Linked DNA regions of Rhinolophus ferrumequinum. The protein of the gene in region 2 interacts with the protein of the main gene of each other region in a pairwise test. Links are inferred from orthologs where the notes say so. Each region holds a gene or a part of one and is shown on either strand. Other genes may lie near its edges.

The links. The genes of interacting proteins can lie anywhere in the genome.
Region 1: the proteins of SSC5D (region 2) and EXOC7 interact in binary tests that used the Homo sapiens proteins (3 or more experiments, as listed by UniProt). The two-hybrid records come from large-scale screens. The link is inferred for Rhinolophus ferrumequinum from reciprocal best matches to the Homo sapiens genes SSC5D and EXOC7.

Annotation. Positions count from the first base shown.
Region 1 is NC_046304.1:50,885,332-50,892,384, forward strand, and holds the start of EXOC7 (exocyst complex component 7), read right to left. Parts: upstream 3,017-7,053; 5' UTR 3,000-3,016; coding exon 2,859-2,999; intron 2,668-2,858; coding exon 2,602-2,667; intron 1,449-2,601; coding exon 1,264-1,448; intron 1,067-1,263; coding exon 961-1,066; intron 1-960. UniProt on the Homo sapiens protein: Component of the exocyst complex involved in the docking of exocytic vesicles with fusion sites on the plasma membrane.
Region 2 is NC_046298.1:48,596,003-48,603,675, reverse strand, and holds the start of SSC5D (soluble scavenger receptor cysteine-rich domain-containing protein SSC5D), read right to left. Parts: upstream 3,012-7,673; 5' UTR 2,878-3,011; coding exon 2,853-2,877; intron 2,354-2,852; coding exon 2,327-2,353; intron 2,017-2,326; coding exon 1,708-2,016; intron 1,543-1,707; coding exon 1,423-1,542; intron 1,236-1,422; coding exon 1,122-1,235; intron 825-1,121; coding exon 516-824; intron 1-515. Other genes in the region: NAT14 (probable N-acetyltransferase 14), read right to left, coding at 4,377-4,925, 5,549-5,620; ZNF628 (zinc finger protein 628), read right to left, coding at 6,959-7,673.

The DNA.
Region 1 (7,053 bases), on a different chromosome or scaffold from region 2:
GTCAAATGTAAAAACATGAATTCAGGTTCCCAGAATAGTCCAATTTATAGAGACAGAAAGTAGAATAATGGTTGCCAGGGGTTGGAGGGAGAGGAGAAAGGGGAGTTACTGTTGAATGGATCAGAGTTTGAGTTTGGGATGAAAAGGGTTCTGGAGATGGACGGTGGTGATGGCAGCACAGCAATGTGAAAGTACTTCATGCCACTGAAGTGTTCACTTCAAAATGGTTAAAATATGAATGGGCCTAGAGAGTGTTATGCTGAGTGAAATAAGTCAGACGGAGAAAAGACAAATAACATCTGATCTCACTTACACGTGAAATCTGAACAACAAAATAAACAAACGAACAAAACAGAAAGAAACTCATACACACAGAGAACAAATTGGCGCTCGTCAGTTGGGAGGGGTGTTGGGGGGATGGGTGAATAAGGTGAAAGGGATTCAGAAATACAAACCGCCACTTATTAAATGAGTCACGGAAACGTAAAACACAGTATAGGGAATAGAGTCAATATTGCAATAAGTACGCATGATGTCAGATGGGTACCAGACTTATTGGGGTGATAACTTTGTAAATTATATAAATGTCTAATCACTATGTTGTACACCTGAAATGAATATATTGTTTGTCCACTGTAATCAAAAATAACTTTAAAAATTATAAATTTTATGTTATGTATTTTTACCACATTAAAAAAAACCCCACAAATGCGTTTATATAAATCAAATGTTAAATTTACATTTTATATGTAATTTATAATTTAGTTAAATTATACAAATGTAACAAAAACGTATGATGTCATTCCTGAGGCAGAGGTCTTCATGACTACAGTCTGTGAACTGTATTATATAGTTCTGTTTATTCTACTATAGCCTTTTTGAAGCTGGCTTAGTCTCTCCTGAGACCAGGGCAGTGACTGGTGTCCCCATCGCTCTCATATTACCCTGCTGGTCCCTTACCACTTTGTTGAGCTCTGGGCTGTCTGGGCTATTGTCCTGGAAATATTCCACAGCCTTCTGAATCTTGGCCATGCTTCCCAGGTATTCTTCCAGCCTACCTGTGGGGCTGGGAAGGAAAAGAGCCAGATCGGCCTGGGTGGATGGAAGATGAAGAGAAGGACCAAGGGAATGGTAATAGAAAGGGGAAAGAAAAGAAGTAACACAAGGGACTCCAGGCTCAAATACATTCCACCCCTCCCTCCCAAGGCCTATGGCCACTGGTCCAGGAGGCGTTAGGAATGTGACCCTCTGGCCCTGGCTCACCCCTCCCTGATGATCTTCTCAGTGTCACTGGCCACGTGGTAGTAGCTGATGACGTGGTCCAGGCAGGACAGAGTCTTCTCAACATTCTCCTGCAGCCGCTGCAGGTTCTCTGTCTGCTTGTGAACAGGGATGATGGAGTTTTCCAGCTTCATCAGGCGGCTCTCAAAGGATGACAGGATAGACACCTGCGGGGGAAGCCCCGTGCTCTCAGACCTCAGGGTGGTCCCAGCACCGCTTCTACCCATCGGGTCGTGGCATTTGCTGCGTTTTTCTCTGGTTTTCTAGACACCAAGCTCTGTGAGGGAAGGGGCAGGGTGTACCTGTTCATCTCTGTAGCCTGAGCACGTCCCATGTGCCGAACCATAGGAGGTGGTTCAAATAAATTGGATGAAGTTTGATTTGAAGGCAAGCCAAGCAGCAAATTAACTTCTTCTAAGTTAATCACCCCAGGATGGCTTCCCTTCCACCCTTTGAAGCTAAATCTCTATTTCTGTTCTCTCTGAAGCTTTCCTACACTGAACAGGAAGTAACTTCATATAGAGGGGCTCAAATGCATTGCTGGTACCTTCAAAACCCTCCCTCTCTAAGGGGGAGTGTCATTCAATAAGGAATAGGACTTTACGATTATGTTATTAAATACATACCCAAGTTTGTATTTACTCAATTTGTGCTTTTCCAGTCTCCTCTGAAAATAAGGAAGGAAACTGCTATCTGTTGAGCACCTACTGTATACCAGGTACTGTGCAAGATGTGTTAGCCCATGCATTAGCTCCTATGACCTTCACAGCCACCCTGGGAGGTTGACAGTGGCTGTCTTATCGGATGCGTTAACTGAAGCCCAGAGTTACCTGTCAGGAGCCATACACAAATAAGTGGAGGGGGAGGGCTAGATCCTAGATCTATCTGACTTCAAAGCTTGTTCTACCCCTACAGCCCTCCAGGCGTGACGGCTGAGTTCCCCTGCCCTCCTCATCTTGGAAGTGCTCTATCCCTCCCATCCCACCATCCCTCCAACTGAAGGCTGCCACGTGACCAGTACCCAGCCCACCAAAGTCAGTCTCACTAAATGTTTGCAGAAAGACAGAAGGAAGAATGGAGAACTTGAACAGAAAGCAGAAAGTCCAGGCCAGAGGGGCTGCAGCATCCTCAGTGAAGCGGCGGACAAGGGGAAGGCAGCGAAGTAAGAGACAAGCCACACGGTTGCTAGAGAAACCCACACGCGACCACCATCATTAGCCGGGCCAGAACCTCAGGCCTTATAGACCGAACCGCAGGTCGCAGGGCTCCCCCCCAAGGTCTGGAGGCCTGTCAGCCCCTCCCAGCCGAGGCGTTACTTGCCATGTTCTTGGTGAGCTGGTCGCTCTTCTCCAGGCTGTCTCGGATGAAGGACAGCGTCTCTTCTTCCTGGGGAAGCGGAGGGGACGATAGTAGCAGAAGCCGGAAGCTAAAGGAGATCACCGCGCTCTCGCCCCCAACCCCATCTCCTTGAAGGGAGCGCTCCCACCCACCCCTGCCTCCTCCGTGAGTATATGCCCCGGCCCGGATCTCGGCTCCTTCCCTCACCTCCTCCACCACCTTCCCAGCCCCAGTCCCACCTGCTTCAGCTTGTCCTCGATCTCCCGCCGCCGGGCGGACGCCTCCTGCGGGGGAATCATCCCTTCGACCCTGAGGCTCCCACTTCCAGTATTTTGTCTCAGAGTGCGTGCCCTCTCGGCTCCCGTCCCTATCACACCCATTTCCGCCCTTGGCCCCGCCCCAGAGCTCGCTGGTGGTGCCATGTTGGGAGAGGCAGGCGGAAGTGCTCCTGCGCGGAGCCCAGTGACCGGCTGGAGCAAGTAGCCATCTTGGGTGTGGCTGGGAAGTGTGGCTGTTGTGGACCAGCCCGGAGAGCTTCACTCAACACTTAACCTTTCTGAACAGCACCTAGCCCATAGTAGATGCTCAAGAAAAATATTGAAAACATCTTGCTGTATAGGTCTTAGGAAGGGAATCCTCTATGACTGAATACTTTGAATTTTGTATAGTATCATTGCATTTTTGTAAATGAACTATATACGTGTGTGCTTTTTGTATCTTCTTAAATTTCCTTCACTAAGTTAATTTGGTAGCCAGCTGCCATGTATTGAAAGTCTTCTGTTTGCCCATCTCTGCTACAAACACCATCCTTACTCGTTATCTTGTCTAATCCTCACAATAAACTTTGGGCACAGCTGTTGCCTTCCTTCTGCCAATGAGGAAGCTCAAGCTTAGAGTCAGCTGCACTAAATCAACACAGCTGGCTGGGAGAGGGTTCTCCTCTACACCCCGCCCCCCCATGCTGGGTAGCTCAGGAGTTTTGTTTGTTGCTATGCAAAGCTGCCAATCTGATTTTCAAGAAAATCCAGTGTGAATAGCAGGGTATATTTATGACCACCATATCTAGGAAAAGGTAGACAGAATGGAAAGATGTTTAAATTATTCTCAACCCAATGTCAAGCATGTGTTGACAAGTAGACATTGAATCTATAAAAGCTGTAGTTCCCCAACTATCCTCAACACAAGCTGCTTTACCAAAAGAAGCAAGTAGTATTTCAGCTGCAGCCTCAGAAGCCTTGATTTTCCTTCACAAACTTGTACACAGCACAAAGGTGCCAATCACAGCCAAGTGCCCCACTGCCCGCTCAGAGAGATTCTCTTTCCAGAGGGAGGGAGGGAGGAAGAGCTCCCTCCCCCAACAGCGTGTTCTTTGGTAACATCCTAATTCCAGACTTTGTGTTCTTTCTGAGGAATCAAGTGTAACATTCCTCCAAATTAATGTTTCCTGGCCCTGTAGCCATCTGAAAATGTGGATGCTATGACGTAAACAACCACAACAGTGTATGTTCCCTGGGATTACAGCCATTTAAAATATGATAGATGCATTGAAAAAAAAAACATTCAGGGAAACAGCACAAAACACTAAAATAGTAAGTAGTAGAGTACAAGGGATGTTCAGTTTCTCTAGTTTTTAAAGATGATGAGTTTAAATTACCTTTCTATCAAAACACTTCTAAGAGAACAAATTTTACTTTTTTCTGTAATGATCAAAAATAGTCTCTTTTCCTCATTTCGAAACCACCAGCCATCAACAGTGCCATCTGGCAGAGTGGTCAAGAGTTTTTTTTTTGTTTGTTTGTTTGTTTTTTTTTTTTTTTTTTTTTTTTTTTTTAACTCCTCTTAGATATAAAATGAGAGAAAGGACCAGGGTGTACAAAGCCCAGGAGTGGACAGCCTATTGCATGCTGTCTTACAACGAAGAGAGAGCAAAGGAAAGGTTGAGCGTGCTCTCAGCCTCCTGTGGGCTCAAATCTGCAATTTGGTTTTAAAACTAGTTTTTCAAATTAAATGTAATCCTACTCAAACGGTAAAGAAGGTACATGGTGAAAAACAAAAGGTGCCCTGCTCTTCCTCGACCCTCAAGCACCTCTGTCCCAGAGGGAACAGCAATGATGTGTTTCCAGATGTGTTCATACGAATCAAGCATAAAATAAGCTCTTCTTTCTATTTTTTTTTAAAACAGAACACAAATGCTATCACGTTAAACACACTTTCCTGTAGCCTGCTTGTTCATTTAACAGTATACCTTAATCATCTTTCAATATTAGTATTAGATATACTCCATTCTCTGTATAGACTTTCATTGAATAGATATATTCAGGCAATCCTCTATTAATGGACACTTGGGTCTTTTGCTATTGGAAATTCTATCCCATATACAGATGGCTTGTGTATGATCACTTCTGTATGGACATCTTATCTATACATTACTAAATTAAAATGTATATAACCTTTAAAAGTTTTATAGATATGTACAAATTGCCATCCAAAATGGTGAACTAACTTATATTTCCAATAGTAAGGTATAAATGTGCCTATTTTCCCACACCTTAACCCACACTATGTATTATCAAACTTTAACATTTTTTCTAATCTGATAAATGAAACATGGCATCTCATGGTTAATTTTGAACTAAATGAAAAGGAAAACACAACTAATGAATATTTGTGAGGTGCAGTGAAAACAGTGCTTAGACGGAAATTTCTAGCTTGAATGCATACATTAGGGGGAAAAAAGATCTAAAATGAGTAATCTAAGCCCCCACCTTAGGAAACTAGAAAAAGAAAATTAAATCCAAAATAAGCAGAAGAAAAGAAATAATAAAAATTAGAGCAGAAATCAATGAAATCAAAGACAGGAAATTAATAGAGAAAAATCAAGGAAATCAAAAGTTGGTTCTTTGAAAAGATCAATAAAATTGATACCCTCTAGTCAGGCAAGAAAAAAGAGAGAAAACACAAATTACTAATACCAGAAATGAAATAGGGGCATCATTACTGATCTCATGGACATTAAAAAGCTAATAAAGGAATATTATGAATAACACTATGCCCCCAAATTTGATTCCTGGGTGAAACAGACCAATTTCTTGAAAGATACAATCTACCAAAACTCACACAAGGAGAAACAAATAATCTTAACAGACCTATAACTATTAAAGAAATTGAATCAGTTAATAAGCTTCCAAAACAGAAAACACCAGGCCCAGATGGTTTCACCAATGAATTCTACCAAATATTTATGGAGAAATGACACCAATTCTCTACAATCTTTTTCAGAAGATAGAAGCAGAGGGAATACTTCCAAACTCATTCTATGAGGTCAGCATTACTCTAATCCTAAAACCAGAGAAAGACATTACAAGAAAGGAAAACTACAGACCAGTATCTCTCATAAATACAGATGCGAAAATACTCAAAATATTAGCAAATAAAATCCAACAATGTGTAAAAAGAATTACCTACCATGACTAAGTGGGATTTATTTCAGGTATGCAAGCCTGGTTCAACTTAATTGTATATTTAATGTTTAATATTTCCTTCTTGGCCTTTTTTTTTCCCCTGAAAAAAACTTCCTAGATATTCTCATTTTGTTTATTTTTTTCAGGTGAGCTTTAAAATCATTTTCACAACCACGAATCAAATGTCCCCTGAGTACAGTGGTTTGAATTCAGGTCCCCAAAAAGACTGGGACGTCACCAGGGAACAATGCCCACTTGAGGGATGGAGGAAAAGTGTGACCCTGGAATGGGAGGGCTGGAAAGCTGGATCCTGAGTCTTCCTGCTGGAGCCTGTGAAGTGGCCAGCAGAGAGCAGGGCCCACTGCCAAAAAGAAGGACCTCACAGGTCAGAGCTGGAGCCAAGGAGTGACCAGGTGGATGGAGCCCAGCTGAGGGCAGATCAAAGGCAGGGAAGAAGCAACTGGTCTTCACAGATGAGTGACAAAGTGAGAGGAAAGCTAGGCCTCCAGGACAGATGCTATCATGCAGGTGACAGGAAGACCTGGGCTTGTCTTCTATAGGGTTGCCTCTCAGGCATCCAGCTGGACGCAGAGAGGGTGCCCAACAAATCTGTGATGAACAAATAAGCAAATAATTACATGATGACTAAATCCACGAGGGTGAGGGGGGAGCAGGGGCATAGAGGGAGGACCAAAGGGGTCAGACAAGCTCGTAGGTACATGTCCCAGAGTGGGGCGAGGGAAAGGAGGTAGGGTGCGCTATACTCCTGGGACCAGATGGAACATTCTGGGGCCACAGGCACAGTCTCACCTGGCAAGATGGTGGGCCTGGAGGCCATAACAGCCTAGGCTCTTGGGGAGGTTCTGTCTGGCCAGGGGCATTTTAGATCCTAAAGTGGGAGAGTGGCTCTAAGAGATACCCCGCTATTCCCCAGCCCCTCGGCTGTCTCTGGGCCTGGTCAACTTTTGCCTCC
Region 2 (7,673 bases):
GGGGAATGGGATAATTGTTCATCACCCCACGTGGAAAACCACTAGTCTAGACCTCTCGTCAGTTTTAGGGTTCATTTCTGTTGGGTCTTTCTGGAATAAAAGCTGAGATGCCACTGGGGGAATGTGGAATCCATCTCTCTACCAGTCAGTATGCAGGGAGGCGGAACTGCAGGCCAGAGAGAGGCCAGAAATGCCTGCACTTACTTCTCCTCGGAAATGACAGGCCCTCCCCTACAGGGTCGCACTGAAGTATTAAAGATCTTAAGGCATTGAGCTCCCCCGGGCACCTCAGTGGGGTTCACTTCTCCCCGACAATGTAACCCTCTCTGAAGCCTCAACTTATCTCCCAGGAACTGGGCCCCACGTGCTTCCCACCCTGTGGCACATGGAGGGACCCCTCACTGTCCCTGGCCCCCAGCTCTGTGCTCCTCTGCACACTATGCTTCAGACACCCAGGGAGACACTGCAGATGCCACTGTGCTGTGGGCAGATCCAGGCCCAGGGAAGAAACGCACCTGTGCAGACCAGCCCTGCGTCCTCGCTGTGGTCACAGTTGCTCCGACCCCAAGGGCTCCGGGGACAGTCCCTCAGGGCCTGCTCTCCACCTCCGCACCCCACATCATCCATCCACACAGGCCCTGAGCCTGGGCCAAATCGGGCCCCTCCTGGGGCAGCCAGTGCCCCCCCGCAGCCCAGCTCCCGGCAGGCCACAGCTGCGTCACGCAGGTCCCATCCGTCGTCACACACCGTCCCCCAGCGCCCACCGTGCCACACCTCCAGCCGACCTGCACAACCGTGGGGGCCCGAGGCCAGGCGCAGCCGCTCTGTGGGGATGGACAGGAGCCTTGTGTGAAGCAGCCGGGATAAGTGGATTTAAACACCCCTCGTTTTCCATCTAGGGAAACTGAGGCCTGGAGAGGGCAGTGGCCTGAGATCTGCCAGCCTGGCCATTACAGGGAGAGTGAGAATGTAAGTGGGGCAGGGTGCCTGGGTGCTCGAAACAGACACTTGGGTTCCCTGACCGGGTGGGGTGGGGTGGGGGACCAGGCCTGACTCAGGAGGACACGCAGGGGGCCCAAGCTGGTCCAGATCTGCAGAGGGGAGGCCTGCAAGGAACTTACCGTGGTGTGGGGCTCCAGCCATCAGTGCAGGGGCTCTGGTGGACTTGGCCTGCTTGGGAGGCCGGGGGCTTTTCTTCCGGGAGCTGCTCTGGGGGGTCCCAGCTGGGCGGGGGGCTGGAAGAAGAGACAGTAAGGAGGGTGGGAGGGAGCCGCTCAACCCTACTCCTGCCTGGGGGGCTGAGCCAGGACCCTCGGGGTTGGCGAGGAGATGGGCATCTGTCTGCCCCCTGGGCAACATGAATGTGGAAGGCCCCTCTCCCCCACGGTTGAAGCAGGAGGGGACATGGGTGGGTGGGCTCACTGTGTGTCACAGGGGGCTCCTCAGAGCTGGGACTCAGCTCCCCAGACAGCCCCTGCCAGGGGTCCCCATCCAGGAACGAAGGTGAACCGTCCATGTCCCTCGAGTTAGCCACACGCTGACCTGCGGAGAGCAGGGGAGCTCCAGAGGGTGGGCCCTGGGAGAGGCTGGGCCAGGATCCCTGGGCAGTGATAAGTTGGGGTCCTGGAGGAAGACCCCTGGCTCTGGAGGGAATGTTGGGACTTCTAGACCCTCAGAGTGACTGGGCTGAGGATTTGGGGTCCTTACCTGCACAGACAACGCCTGCATCCTCTTCATGGGAACAGACGTGGGCCTTCCACCCTCGGTGGGGGCACAGGCCCAGCTGCCCCTCGCCGCCCCGGCAGGCCAGCTCACTCAGCCACACGGGACCTGCACCCTCCCCAAAGAAGGCACCTCCGGGGGCGGCCAGTGCCGCCCCGCAGCCCAGCTCCCGGCAGGCGACTGCGGCGTCCCGCAGGTCCCATCCGTCATCGCACACCGTCCCCCAGCGCCCACTGTGCCACACTTCCAGCCGGCCCGCGCACCCGTGGGGGCCATCGGCCAGCCGCAACCGCTCTGGGGGAACGGAGGAAAGGGTGTGACATCCTGGAAGCCCTGGGGCAAAGGGTAGCCCTCCAGAGTGCGACTAGGCCAGTATCCTGTTGCTGGTGGGTACCCCAAAGCCTGGGGTCCAGGAAAGTAGTGGTGAGAGACCCTGGTCCCTGCAGGAAGCGGGTGGCTGACTGCCGCGGTAGTTCTGGGGGAATGGTGCCTGAGGTCATCACCAGATGGTAGGTGGCCAGGATCCCAGGGGAGGGCGAGGCTGGGAATGGGATGGGCTTGGAGCTGGGTGAGGCCAGACAGAGGAGTGTTTGGGGACACTTACCAACAGCCTGGATCCCCATCAGAGCCACTGGAAGGGAGGTTGGAGGGGTGGGACACAGTGAGGGGCAGGTCCAGGGGTCCCTTCCCCAGTCTTGACCCCAGCGCGCGCACGCGCACACACTCACACACACACACACATCCTTGCACCTCTGAACCAGAAACCCCTACTGGGAAGAAAGCAGGACTCGAGGGTGGAGGGGCAGGACCCCAGATGCAACAGGTCAGGGCTGGGGACCAGGCCCTTGTGCTCCCCCAGAGAGAGGCCTGGCTAAAGGTCAAATTGTGTGTGACCCCCCCAAAGGGTCAAGCCTGGTGGTGGGGATGAGTAGGTCGCTGGGCCTCCTAAGAGGGTGGGACTGGCATATAGAAGGCTGGGTCCCTGGGCGGTCAGGTAGGGAGGGCAGATGTCCTGTGTCCCCAAGCACCAGGAATGGGCCCTGGAAGAATGGGCCCCTCAATTGCAGGAGCTCAGGGGTCAGAGGGTGGGGCCCAGGCCCCCGAGTCCCCAAGGAGAATGGGTCACTCACCGAGGAGGCAGGCCAAGACCCTCATGTTTGCAGAGTCCAGGGCAAAGATGGGGTGAGAGGGGAGGATCAGGAGAGGGCAGAAGGCAGCCGCCACTGGAGGGAGGGGGGAAGCGCCTGCTGAAGCGCCCTGGACCCGGGAGGAGCAGGCAGGAGCTAGACGCTTTGCCAGGAGCAAGAAAGGCTGCCGAGGAGGCAGCAGGGGACAGGAGGGGGGCGGGGAGGGGGCTGGCCAGCGGCTGAGGCCTGGGGGGGGAGGGGGGTGGCGGGCTGGAGGGAGGATGTCCAACTGCAAACACCCACACAGGCCAGCCAGGCATGCGGGGCGTAGAGATGCTTAGAGGACGGAGGGCAGGCTTCAGGGAAGGGACGACATGGGCGAGGCACCCACCCGTCTGCTTCCTCTCTTATCCAAGCAGGAAAATGTGGATTGGACCAGGGTGTAGGGGCTAGAGGGTAGATTCACAGGAGCTGTGGGCCTTTGAGACCTGGCACAGCTGGGGATCAAGGTTCAGCAGCAAGAGGCTTCCAGCCAGACACCAGGAAGGACTTCCTAGATTGGGAAAGGAGACTCTGTTCCCCAGCGTGGAGTTGGATGCAAAGCCCCCCATCTGAGGGAGAAGTGGTTGAACTTATATGTCCCCCAACCCCGAGGCAACTGGGGTGGGGAACTGGGCAGACCTCAGGTCAAGGCCTGGGTGCTAGAGGTGACTGAATGTGCACACACACTCACTCTCTGGGCACCAGGCAGCTGGGAGGCGGAAAACCTCGGTAATGGGGAGCGTGAGTCAGAGGGCTGGCTAGGAGCGAGGCTGCCGTGAGCTCATGCCTCCCTTTCTCCTGAGCCAGCACCACCACCACCAATTAATGTCAACTCAGGAAAGGAGGAGCCAGACTGAAGGAGGGATTCCAAGACAGACTGGAAAAGGCATCAGAGAGAGAGCAAGCCAGGCGCAGAGCAGTTTCAGGCTTTATTAACAATCGGGTATAAAAACACCAGACAGGTCTGGCCACCCTTCTTAGCAGTCCCTTTCCCCCAGGGAGGGGCCGCCGGCCTTCCTGTGCCCACCCCCTCCTTGCAGGGCCTCTCTAGGAGACAACCCTCCTCGCAGAGGCTCTGCTCATCCCCTCTGGCTCCAGACTCATCCTCTCCAAGCACAGGCATCAAACCCCACCCCATTCATGGTGGGGGCCTCATCCCAGTTTGGGGTGTCCCTGCCCCAACTCCTAACCCTTGGGGAGGCACACTTGCTCAGACTCCTTTCCTCCTCTCTGTCACCCAGGCTGGTACCACAAACGGTGCAGGCTTTGCAGAGACAGACTGGGGAGATGTCTCAGTGCAGACAGAATCTGAGGCAGGAGGCCAGATAGGTTGACCACTCTGAGAAATTCAGACACGAAAGACAGACCTCAGACCTCAGGCTGTCTTTCCCTCTGCAGGCCTCAGTTTCTGGGCCCTGGGCAGGCTGGGGATTCGCACAGGGAGAATGTGAAAGTGCCCGCACACAGTAGGTGCGTACGTTGGAGTCACAGGTTCTTGCTGAACTCCCTTACCAGTGTGTAGCCCATGCAGCCCCAGCTCCCCTCAGCCTGGTAGCCGCAGCCTTCCAGCATCCCTGCCACGCCCCAAGCCGCCACAGCCACTGGGACCACGAGGCGGGCCTGGGGCTCCCCCATACCCCCTGCCCAGGCACGTGCCCGGGACTCGGCAAAGGCCAGCAGCCGCCTGCCCACGCCTCGGCGGCGGTGCCAGCGGGAGACAGAGAGGCGAGTGACCCGGGCCCCATCCCCAGAGTTAGAGCCTGGGGCCAGGGCCAGGACCCCACACACATCACCTGAGCCGCGCACTGCCACCCAGGGCCCCCCTAGGCCACCTGGTGGAGGCAGCGAGCCCCACCGGGCACGCAGGCCGAGCTTCATGGCCACCACAGCCAGGAACACAGGCAGGAGGAGGGCCAGGGCAAAGGAGGCCAGCACGAAGCGCAGGCCGCTGCTGGCGGCCGCCAGGAGCAGCAGCGCAGGCGGCCGTGTCAGGGCGTGGAGGGCCACTCGGTTCTCCGTATCCTTCACAGCAGCCTGTGGGTAGGAGGCGCAGTCAGAGCAGGGGACTGGGCCTCCCATCAGCGAGGGCCCCCGTGAACACCAGGAACAAGGAGAGGGAGAAGACCCTACCCAGGAGGGACTCAGGGTGGGGGCTCCCAAAGGAAAAGGGACTGGGCCTGTGGTAGAAGGACAGGCAGGGCCTGGACCACATCTGCTCTGTGCACCAGCAAACACTACATCTGGCACACTGGGCTTTGAATGAGTGAATGAATGAGTGAGAGAATGAGTGAATGAATTAGGAACTGTGAGGACACCCAATTCAGGAGAAGAATGTGCGGGAGGCACCAGGGAAGATTGAGATCAGACCAAAATGGGCGACTGCCCCCCGGCCAGAAAATGGGCGACTGCCCCCCGGCCAGAAAATGGGCATGCTCTGTTGCTGGAGCAGAGGATGAGTACAGGGCTGAGACCCAGGCTCTGCTCTGAGGAGTGTCGGGGAGGAGACAGACCCCACAGCCCTCCAGCATTAAAACCCTCCTGACCGCAGGGGTAGGCAGAAGGCACTAGAGGGAGAAGGGGCCAAGCCAGAAGTGGCTTCGAAGGAAAAGCTGGCTCACCGTGCTGCCCCTACCCCCAGGTGCCCCTGCTGTACTCACCTTCAGCATCTCCAGCACCAGGGGCTTCTCATCTTCTCTCATCTCCCGCACTGAAAGGTGGCTGGGGGCCATGGCAGTCCCCGTGCCCCCAGGGAGCAGGCGTGCACCTGGTGAAAACAAGCAGATCAACGTCAGGAGGGCACCTCTGGTCTCCAAGAGCCCCAGGGGTGGGGACCAGCAGCAGCATGTATCAGATGAGGACAGTGAGGATGCTTGGGATGCCCCAAGCGAGATCCCACGCAGGACAGGCTGCCCCCTTCACCCAGCCACCTTCCTAACGTCTCCTGAGGTCTCACTCCCCCAACCCGTGGTGTTCAGCGATCTTACCCTAAATACCTTGCAGACACCAACACCTGGCTATACAGGGCCCCCTTCCAGGCTCCGGGGCTTCTACAGGGGGAGGTCATCGAACCCCCACCCCAAGGCCAGGTAATGGACCAAGCTCCCCAAACCCAAGCGTCCCGCCCCACAGTCGCTGCTGGAGCAAGAACCTACAAACACCTCTGCGGTGGCTCCGATTCTTTGACAAGGTATGGGGAGGGAGGACAGGGTCAGGAAAGGGGTCGCCGGCGGAAGTGACGTCAGACCGCGCACGTTGGAGGCGGTGCAGTGTGGTGCCTGCATTCGGTCTTAACTGTTGCCAAGCTTGGCAGGGGGTTGAGGAGGGGCTAGGGCAGGGCGCAGGGACTCTGCTGGATGTGGGGTAGGGAGCGAAAGAGCGATGGAGAAAGGGGACCCGTAAGACGACAGCGGCGGGAGTAGCAGACGCTGGCGGGGTGGGAGCTGGGAGCTGTACTTACCGGCCAGTTGAGGGGGTGCGCACGCTCGCTTTTCGAGGTTCCCTGGTTGCTAAGCAACCTGAGTGCCGGGTGGGGGCGGTGATAGGAGAGAATCAATTCTCATTGGTGCCCAGGGCTTCGTGGGAGGGGCCGCTTCAGCATCCTGAGCCCACCAGCTCCCAAACTGGCTCACCCCAGGGACCTCCGTCCCAACCCACCGGGCTCAGTGACCTTCGGGACAAGCATTCCCCTCCCCCCACCACAGACTTTTCAAATGAGGGGAGAGGTGGAGTTACAGTGAACAGGTGGCAGAGCAGGATTCTAAATTCCACATCTCCCCACTCTAGTGACCACTGCATCCCCTTTTTAATAGTAAACAGAGCCCCACGTAGAAGTGGCTGGCCCCCAAGCAACTCAACTGCGAGCCAGGATGCAAGAGATGAGACTCCAAGCTCCCAAGCAGTTGCTATGGCCATGACGTTGCCCTCCCCCACCCCAAGAAAACAAAACACAGGAGAGGAGATTCTGGTCTTTATTAGAAGCCCAGCCTGCAGCTCTCCTGCCCCCAGTTCAGCCCAAGCAGACAGAGTCTGGGTCTCTGTGGGGCAGGAAGAGGTACCAGTGGTTCTACTCAAAATGTGTGCACTAGCTGGACTGCGGGCAGCGTCTGGAGAATCTGGATGGAGGGCAGGCCCTGAGGGGCCATGCCCCCAGGCACAGCTCCTGCGGGGACCACTTGTACCATCTGGGAGGCGGGACCCGCGGGGATGCCGGCAGGGGCAGAGGCTGGGCCAAGTGGCGGTGGGGCCAGCAGTTGCAGCGTGGTGGCACCGCCGCCAACACTATTCTCCAGCAGCTCGGTGGCTGGCGCGCTGCGGATGATGAGCAGTTTCTGTCCTGGCGGCCCAGGGGCAGGTGACTCCGCCAGCCCTGACGGGACGGTCTCTACCTCCTGTACACACAGCTGGGTCTGCTCCCCATCGGCCCCACTCAGTACCAGGACGCTCTGCAACCCCTCGTCCGTCTGCAGCGTCTCAAAGAGCACATCCTGGACCACACCAGTGCTGGCCTCGCCGTCACCCGGCTCCCCAGGGCCAGAGCCCGCCAGCAATTCCTCTGCTGCCCCACTCTGCACCACCAGCAGGTTGGGGGTCTCAGTGGTCACAGCTCCCCCACTGGGATTGGGCAGCTGGCCCGCCACAGGCTGGAGCTGTACTGTGGTCACCTCCTGTGCCGGCTGGAGCTGGACTGTGGTCATTTCCTGTGCCGGCTGGAGCTGGACCGTGGTCACTTCCGGGGCTGGCCGGAGGGGCTGGAGCTGGACCCCGCTCACTTCCTGTGGCCCC